Linked DNA regions of Cricetulus griseus. The protein of the gene in region 1 binds, or shares a complex with, the protein of each later gene. Links are inferred from orthologs where the notes say so. Each region holds a gene or a part of one and is shown in the gene's direction. Other genes may lie near its edges.

Evidence for each region.
Region 2: the proteins of Elmo1 (region 1) and Rhog are in contact, whole or in part, in a crystal structure (PDB 7Y4A), measured with the Homo sapiens proteins. The link is inferred for Cricetulus griseus from reciprocal best matches to the Homo sapiens genes ELMO1 and RHOG. Residues at the interface, in NP_001193409.1 of Homo sapiens: Lys9, Val10, Ala11, Glu13, Tyr18, Pro19, Leu21, Met22, Ala54, Asn71, Gly72, Ile74; in NP_001656.2 of Homo sapiens: Val36, Phe37, Asp38, Trp56, Tyr64, Arg66, Leu67, Leu70, Ser71, Pro73, Gln74.

The regions. Positions count from the first base shown.
Region 1 is NC_048596.1:242,433,914-242,438,497, forward strand, and holds the start of Elmo1 (engulfment and cell motility protein 1), read left to right. Parts: upstream 1-1,716; 5' UTR 1,717-2,001; exon of another isoform or gene 2,002-2,185; intron 2,186-4,584. UniProt on the Homo sapiens protein: Involved in cytoskeletal rearrangements required for phagocytosis of apoptotic cells and cell motility. Acts in association with DOCK1 and CRK. Was initially proposed to be required in complex with DOCK1 to activate Rac Rho small GTPases.
Region 2 is NC_048596.1:97,133,375-97,137,891, forward strand, and holds the start of Rhog (rho-related GTP-binding protein RhoG), read left to right. Parts: upstream 1-1,536; 5' UTR 1,537-1,667; intron 1,668-1,940; exon of another isoform or gene 1,941-1,965; intron 1,966-4,517.

The DNA.
Region 1 (4,584 bases):
AAAGGAAAATTGGTTTTCTCCAAAGGAGTTTCACAGTATATATTAAACCATTCTTTACAGTATGCCCCATGTCTAGCAACAGATGGCCAATACAAAATGAACTCAATATTTTGTAGACTTTTTTTTTTTTGTCTCGAATTGCTTTGTTTGGACATTTTTTTTGTCTTGTTGGTCTTTGTATGTTTTGATTCCCATTTTTGTGTTTTTATGTTTTTAATACAAGTGTGTGTATCCTGTATTATTATTATTATTATTGGTTTGGTTGTTTTCTTTTTGGTTGCTTGTTCATTTTTTAGAGTGAGAGAGAAAGAAATGGCTGAAATTGTGTGGGTGGGGAGGTGGGAAGTCTCATGGAGGAGTTTGGGGAGGAGGAAAGCATGATTGAAATACATTGTATGAAAAAATTAAATAAAAATAAACTGGTGGAAAATTCCTTAAATCCCAGCACTTGGGAGGCAGAGTCAGGTGTATCTTTGTGAGTTTGAGGTCAGCCTGGGCTATAGAGTGAGGCCAGACAGGGCTACCTACAGAAAAAGGCTGTCTCCAAAGCCCAAATAAATAAGTAAATAAATAAATAAACAAACTGGTGAAATTAATTTTAATCATACACATACGTGGTAACCCAATATACTATCCGATTGATTTATTACATAGAAACTCTAGAACTATTATTTACTGAAATTGTTGGAACCCAGCCCCCATGGGGTCTCTAAGAGTTGTTTTCCAGCATAACCACAGGTACCTCCTGTTTTCCTGACCTCACCCCACTGGGATCAATATCCTGTTGTGAACCCTTTGACCTGGGGTTTTTGTAAGTTTGTATATAAGGCTGCTCCACAATAAAGGTGGGAGACATTCTCTCACAAAGTAGACCAGGAGTCTTGTTCATCCAAATCTCCAGGCTTTCGCCCAATACTCGGACTTAGTGGCCAAGAGCAGCCACATGAAATGATAAAATCAGTATAGAAACAGCTATTTTATTTTGTTTTTCATGCAAAATCCCTAATGGCTACTAATGGGCAGTTAGCACAGGGCTAATATGTAAATATTCTTGTGATTAATATTAAAGAGAGCGTTGACTTTTGCCTTAGATTATTGTATCTTCTAGGGAGTACTCCCATCCCCTCCCCTTTTCTAGAGAAGAGGGCATGCACCGCAGCTCCCTTCCCTCTCCATTGGCTCCATCAGAAGACAGGTGTTTCTCCTGAACTTTCCAACTGTCATTTTCCTCTTTCCTGCTAGATTGGGAGTTAAATGTGTTTGATTTCTTCTTTGGAAACTGAAGTAGGCTGCATGACTACAATCACCACAAATAACAAATTCAGGGTAGTACATGTTGCTTCATGCCACGCTATACCAGACAAGAGTCTCTGGCTTCATTGAAGGAAACCTTGTAGTTTCGACTACAGGTGATGGAGGAGAAGGAAACGGCCTGTCATTTTTGCCACGCCACCCACGACAAAGTGGCAAGACATATACGGGAGCTTCTTAGAGCAACTGTTTCAAAATAGCCCACCTAAGTTTCTTCCCCCTTCGGTGGAAAAATCTCAAATAAGCTGTCCAAAATGAAAGCTTATAAAAAAGGTACCATGAGCTTTCTGTCCCCCAGAGGTGGCGCTATGAGGGTGGCGGAGTTAATTAGTGCCTGCAAAACGCGGTTTATGAGCTCATCAGAAGTCATGCTCAGCACACACTATTTATAGCAGAACTGAGGTGTGCATTCTCAATTTTAAAGTAGAGGGACTTCAAAAAGTCGTAGGCAACCGGCCCTAGGCACCGTGCAGGGGGCGGGCAGCAGTGCGGGGGCGGGAAGCAAACGCACCAACCACGCGTGTCCGCGCGCAGGTGCCTGGGGTGGCGGCGGCAACTCCGCAGTGGCTGCCCAGGAGGAGAGTTCGCGGCAGCTCGCGGGATGCTCCCAGATGCAAGATGTGTCTCTGGCCAGCAGGAGGAAGGAAGAGGAAGTGAGAGCAGCGGCAGCCCGCGGCCGGCGACCCGAGTGTAAGTGCGTGCGTTCGGGCAGCGGCGGCGGGCGAGAATGGGCACAAGATAGAGGCAGAGCCACCGCCGTCCGCGGCCCCGAGAGGGGCGACAGAACCTCGGCCACCAGTCTACCGCCCCGGCCCCCGCCCCGGCTCTCCGGCCTCTTGGAACCCTCGTCACCGCGTCCTGCGACCCCGGGCAGGTTCGTAAAGTTTTCAGGGCTGGCGCGGCGCCCGGCTCGCTGACCTCGGCGGCCCGGGCGGGGCCCGGGCAGGACCAGGGCGCCGCGGAGACACTTTTGTTTCCTCCCGGGGGCCCCGCGGCGAGGCGGGGGGCGGGCGCGCTGCAGTTGGGAGGTCTGGGCGGAGAGGGGTCCCGAGTGACTAGAGGCACGAGGGGAGCGGACACTGGGGGCAGCTCTGGGATGGGGTTCAGGGCCGGGACCCGGGGCAGGGTGGGCTGGAGGCGTAGGGGTGCCGGAACCTAGCCGAGTGCGCCCGGGACCTTGCGGCCAGCAATAGTGGGGCGGGAGAGCCCGGAGGCTGCGCCTAGTCGCGGCGGGCGGCGAGGACTCCGGGGCTCGCTCGGGCGTCGCAGACGGGAGGGGATACCCGCAGAGCGCTCTCCCAGGATGGGGCTTGATGGGCTGCGAGGACCCCTGCGGGCGTTCGCTAGGGAAGACCCGCCTCCCGGGGCTTCGCGGGGCTTCCCTCTGGGGTTCGGGAGGGAAGGCGGCGGGGGCTTCGATGGAGAGGCTGGCGTGGGAGAGGGCGGACGTGGGGCTCTGGGGAGGGAGCGAACGAGCCGCGCACCGCGGTAGCCCAGCGGCTTTGAGGAAGAGGAAATCGAGAACTCAGCGGGCCGCGGTGCGCTTGTGTGGGGTTGGGAAGTGCTGTGCCGCGGGCGCGCGCTAGGCGTGTGTGTGTGCGTGCGTGCGTGTGTGTGTGTGTGTGAGTGTGTGTGTGTGTGTGTGTGTGTGGTGTGTGTGTGTGTGTGTCGCGCGCGTCATTGCTCGCGGGCGGGCGGGGGGGTTGCTCTCCCACTGCCCCTCGGGCTGGGGGCACGCTCCCACTGACTCTCTTGCCTGGAACCCTTTGAACTAGGCAGCTGGGGCAAAGATTGTTGGACCCGGATTGACCCGACGCTTCAGAGTTTGGCCCCAAGCTGGGACAGCTCCTAGGGCTTCTGGACAGCTCCCGAGGCACATGGAACTCAATGAAAGGCACCCAGGGGCAGTGGACCGCGTGCCTATGGCCTAAGATACAGATTGTGACTTGAGGGAAACAGAGCTAGAATTTCTGGTTTTTGTTTTCTTTGATGTACAAAATAAAAATAATCAGCTTTTACATATCAAAATCTTTTAGAACAACTTGGGACTGGAGGATCCAGTTTATTTGCAATGACTGTGAGATTGGGAAAGCTGGCAGCAGAGCGGGTCCATTAAAGGCTTCTGGTCGTGGTCTTCACCTCTTCAGCAGATCTCCAAGGTTATTTCAAGGTTTACTGTTTCCACTCCTCAATTTACAGGACTGGGGATGTTAGTGTGTTTAGAACCAGTTCACTTGCAGGCTTGTAACAAAGATTCCATACTCATTTTCTTATTCTCCCTCCCACCTTCGATGACCTTTTGATCTACTGCTCCTCACTATGGTACATTTGCTATCTTTTCAGAATTGTGGTTAAATGCGCATATGGCTTTTCTTACTGTATTTGCTACTGGGTTTTTGTTAAGTTAGATGAAGTGATAAACTGACAGAATGGCCCCAACTGGGAGGACTCCTGGTGAGGAGAAAGAGTAAGCAGGAGAAAGAGTAAGCAGGAGAAAGCTGGGGGACAGGAAACTTGGGGAGACCACAATCTGTGGAAACTCAGTGCCTGAACATCATTGGGCCACAGGGTGGGTGGTCCTATGATGGATGCCCTGCGCCCCCCCCCCACACACACGGAGTATGTCCTTGTTAACTGCAACAATTCTGACTTCCTGGTATTTTTCTTTTTTACTGCTTTTTCTCCCCAGGACCTTTGCACATGATATTCTGGCTGCCTGGGGAGTTTTCCCTCACATGTCCTGATGACTCACCTTTTGCTTCCTTCTTCTCAGTTGTCAGTTTAAAAAGCTTTGTGGACAGCTCTCCCAGGTCCTCTTGTGTTTCCCAGGTTTCCCTCTCAGTATCTGTTACTCCTTGGCATTATATATTCACCTGTTTATTTTATAATTGTCTCTCCGGTTGGCATGGAAGTTTGAGCAGGCTGGTGACCTTGTTCACAGATCTAGATGAACTTCTAGCATAGGGTAGCAATGTGTTCTGTATATGTTTTGTTGGCTGACAGATGGAGAGCTGTCCATCCTGGGAGAGGCCACTGGGGAAACATACTAAGAAAATCCCAGAGTCAGTGGTGAGTGAGAAGCCAGGCTTTTACCTTCCTCTAGTCCCTCCTCCCTGCTCTGCCACTGTTCTTCCAGACCCTTAGACATGTTAGATCTCTTCCTCAGAACTGTAGGTCCAGAGAGGTGATTGCTTGGGGTGGGGTATAAAAAGCAGGGCACTTTCTCAAAAGCCCAGCTGCTCCGATCTGTTGTCGTACCTCTCCCCTTGGAGG
Region 2 (4,517 bases), about 150 Mb from region 1:
GAAGACCAGGCTGGCCTCGAACTCACAGAGATCCGCCTGCCTCTACCTCCCAAGTGTTGGGATTAAAGGCATGTGCCACCACGCCAGACTAGGGCTTTTTTTTTTTTTTCCCCTTAAGGTCTCATATAGCCCAGGCTGGACTTGAACTTCTGAACCTCCTGTCTCTACCTCTTGAACGCTGATTATAAGTGTGTGTTACCACATCTGGCTTGGAACGCATTATTAATGGCTTCATTGAAGCCGCCTGAATGTGAGGTACACTTCAGGACCCTGTTATTTCTAGGACTCACAAACCTCTTTCCATGTACCAGTTTTGTCCTCCCAAATTTCCCCTAACCTCTTCTATTCTCTGTTCCCCACAGGGAGAAATTTGTCTCAAAGACCAAAGAAGAAGAAAGTCCAAAAGCAATCAGAACAGGTTTCTGAAAGATCTCAGAACACGCTTTCATTCACTCAGTCATTGACCAGCCATCCTGAATCTGATCGTCTTAACTTCACTTTCGATACAGTAGCACAGACACATACTCTGTTATTTTCACATCCTCAGGGTGGAGAATTTTTTGTTGATTTGAGAGAGAGAGAAGAGAGGGAGAGAGAGAAGAATTGATACTTGGAAAGGTTAAACTATTTTTCAGAATTGATCCTCTTTATTTGGAAGTCCTTGTAAGTACTGTTTCCATTGCACCTAGCGGAGCTCTGCACGTGGTAGGGCACCCAGAAAGTTGTTAAAAGAACCAAGAACTGGATTCTCCAGTCAAAACTCAGCGCCCGGCCTGGGTTAGAAGCACCAGGGGGCGCCCACGAGTCCGTCCACTCGCCTGTCTCTAGGGCCCAAGGCGGACCTCAGGCCTGGGTGGGGTCCCACCGCGCCAAACAGCTGCGCGCCAGGCCGAAGTCGGGGAACAAGAGGAGCCCCACGTCTTCCCACGCCCCACCCCCTCCCCAGAGCCGCGCGGAGCCGCGAAGTGCGGAACCACGACACGACATCCTGTTTTTTGGGGCCCGCGCAGCTCCGCCTGCGGCTCTGCTGATCGTGTCTTTTTCCCGGGGTGCTGACGGCAGCTGCCCTTCCCCTAGTTTCCCTAGTCTCCCCACCCTCCCTAGGGGTCTGGGACCTTCCCACTGCTGAATCACCACCATCCGGCAATCTCCCAAGGCTCAGGGCAGGGGTGGGGACTGCCCCAGCCTGCCCCATTCCCGCTAACCCCTCGCCAGCCACAGCTACCTCTAGATGCCCGCGCTGAGCGGAAGGCATTTCTCAGCCTGCCCGCGGAGGTTGCCGGGCGGGAGATACCAGGAAGAGAACAAATGCCTAGCGCCTAGCTTCGGGCCTCTGCTGGGGTGGGATGCCAAGTGAAAGCGGGGAGACCTGACTTTGAGAGGCCAGACCCGAGGGGTCTCAGTGGCCATAGGGCGAAGGGTGGAGGGAAACGAGACGCGGGACAGCCCGGGGGGCAAAGCTTGCAGAACACCGCGGGCGATGGGGTGGGAAGCCGCCGACTTCCTGGTCCGCCCCGCCCCGGCCGCCCGCCCCGCGCCCGCCCGCCCCGGGCCCCGCCGGCCCGTCCCCCACCCCCCACTTCCTCCGGCCTCCAGCTCTCACTTCCTTCTTGAGCCCAGAGCCGCCGCCGCCGCCCCCAGCTCCCCCGTCGCGGGGAGGGCACCAGGTGAGGCCCGGCCCGGGCCGGTGGGCTGGGGTCCTGGGAAGAGGAGTGCGGCCGGCTGGGACTGGCTGGGCGCCCGGGAGCAGGGAAGTTTGCAGGAGGGAGGCCGCGGGCGGGAGGTTCTCGCTCACTGCAAGTTGGGCGGGAGCGGCAGGCCGGGCGGGGACAGCGGCCACCTCGAGTCGATCGCTGATGGCTGAGTTGAGGATGGGATCCAGAGGACAGCGCGGGATCCCGAGAGCCGCGAGGGACCTCTGAGATCCGAGCCGTCAGAGGCTCGCAAATGGGAAAGCGCTGAGCTGTGAGGATGGGACTCTGTGGTGGGGTGCCCTCAAAAGTTGTGGGGGGTGTTCAGTAGTGTGTGAAAGAAGAGGGCCTCTGGGCTAGAGAAGGCGCGCTCTCTGGCTCTGCAGTTGTGACATTTGTGAGACTGGGCCGGGGGGGGGGGCGGGAGGCGGCGTCTGGGGCCTCTGAAGCCTGAGAATGCAGAGAAAGGTTTCACCCGGGAAGGTCCGGGCCAGTCTATAGCTACACTGTTGCTGCAACCCTCTGGAGGACCGGGTGGGGGAATCCCCGCCCCTTCTCTATTTTTCTGAGCCGACCTCTTTATCTCTGTGCCGTGCAACAGGTATTTAGTGAACATGTCTGTTGTGTCTGACTGACTCAATCTGGCGTTGCTGTTTTTGAGGATCAACTGAGGAAGGAAAAGGTCTCGATACCAACAGTCACTGATAACGTATTATAGGACTTTGAGAGACAGCTAGGCTTTCGAGAATGATTAAGAGCTGTCTCTTAGTCTTTCTCACCTGAATTCCACATACTGTCTTCCTCTACTGACCTTAGTGTTTACCACACATTTGTTTCTTCAGTCTCTTTTTCCCCCAACCACATAGATGTACTTAAGTGGTAATCTCACACTTAACCCTGCCCCGCCGTTGTCTGCTCGGTTCTCTGCTGCCTCACATTCCCATCTCTTTTCAGCCTCTGGTTAACACACACACACACACACACACACACACACACACACACACACACACACACACACACACACACACACACACACACACACACACACACACACACACACACACACACACACAGGTTAACACACACACACACACACACACACACCCCTTTTCCATTTTCCCTGCTGCCCTCTGTCTCCTTGTGTTCATGTCTTTAGCTTTGGTGTCCGAAACTGCTTTAGACTTGAGTTTGGGAGCCTTTTCACGCCTCTTAGAGATGCAGTCTGCAGCCTCCCGATGATGGAGATGATTAAAGGGCTGGAAACGTGCACATGCGAATAAGCATGTAAGTTCTGGTGTGTCAACATCTTTATCTCTTAGAGACAAAATAACTGCCCTCAGCCTTGAGAAGGCCCAGAGCAGAAGCCAACAGAATGAAGGGAACCTGCAGTGGGTGACATTGTGGTTAGGCAGGGGGAAGCAGTTTGTAGCAGTCAGGGTAGGATGACACAAGAATAAGGGAATAGTGAGAAGGGCCATGGGAAATCAAAACTACCCTGATCTTTAGGTGCTCAACCAAGAGTCCTGCCCAGGAGTTGGGCTAGCCTGAAGGTCCCTGCCATTGCTGGTTCCAACCAGTGGTGAGAATGGGGTGGGCTGTTTGGTATGCTAGGAAAAGGAGGGGGCAAAGGCAAGATTCTGGAGGGAAAACTGCAGCTGATCTAACGTCAGTCCTGACTGGTCTTAAATTTTTGACCAGGAAAGAGATATAAGAAAAAGGGGGTTGTTCTTCTTCCCTGCAGCTTTCTGGGGACTGCAGAGGTTGGGTATCTGCATTTTCTGGTGTGTGTCAGAGCCTTTCAGGGAGTTCTGCTGACAGGTCTGTTTAAGCATCCTTGCTATTTGCTTCTTACCTAGGACTCTGTTCCCTTTCCCTGAGAAATTTCTCCAAAGTCTAACTTAGTCTGTCCTGACCCTGTAAGTTCTTTTCCCCATTCTAGAGCCCTTTCCTCGGTCTTTGGGTTACATGCTCAGGGATTTTGTTTGTCTCTACCTCCTCCACTCTTCTGTATTAACTTCCCTCCACGAGAATAAAAGAGAAGTGGTGGGGAGCAAATGCCACAATTGGGGGATCTTCAAGCAAAGCTAAATTTAAGAGCTAGGCTCCTTCCCGTTCCTATCCTCTTACCACCTCACAGTTGTCCTTCCCCATCAATTGTTTCTTCTTCTAGTCTTGCCCTTCTCCACCTGTCTCTCCTACTCTCGTTTCTGGGAGGTACAGAGGTTTGGCCCCACAGAGGAAATCCAAGGGATCTGTATTAAATCCCAGCTCAGGAAAGGATGTGCATCACAGCTTCAGTAAAAATCCTCAGGAGCCCCAAGTCCTCTGACAAACCAGTACTTAATTTAGTGTTCTGTATAACAAAGCAATCCACAGGGCTCTTCGGGCAAAGATAGGATGGAAGTAACAGGGTTTATTCTCTTAGGCAAGGTCTGGCTTTATAGGCAGTTTAAGCTAATTACAAGAAAAATATGATCAGGATGAGAGGGTTCTAACTGGACAAACACCATGGGTGGGGGCTGCCTAAGAAGCTGCTGTGGAGGCCTTGGCTACACACTATGGTTAAGGTAATACGAGAAGTGGTAGGGTGACATTGTTACATGTCCTCCTTAGCAATCTGAGCTTTGGAGAGTTGCTTCAGGGGAGATGTTAAGGCAGATGAGGTGTCTGATAGGCGCTTGTAGGGGGTTATGATCAGGAAGATAGGAGAGGCTGTGGTTATATAGGCAGCTGTGACGATATTGGGGTGATAGTAGCTGGAGAACTGGGAATAAAAAGGGTACCTGGGTACAAACTAAAAGCCTCTTCCCTTCATGTACATTGTCG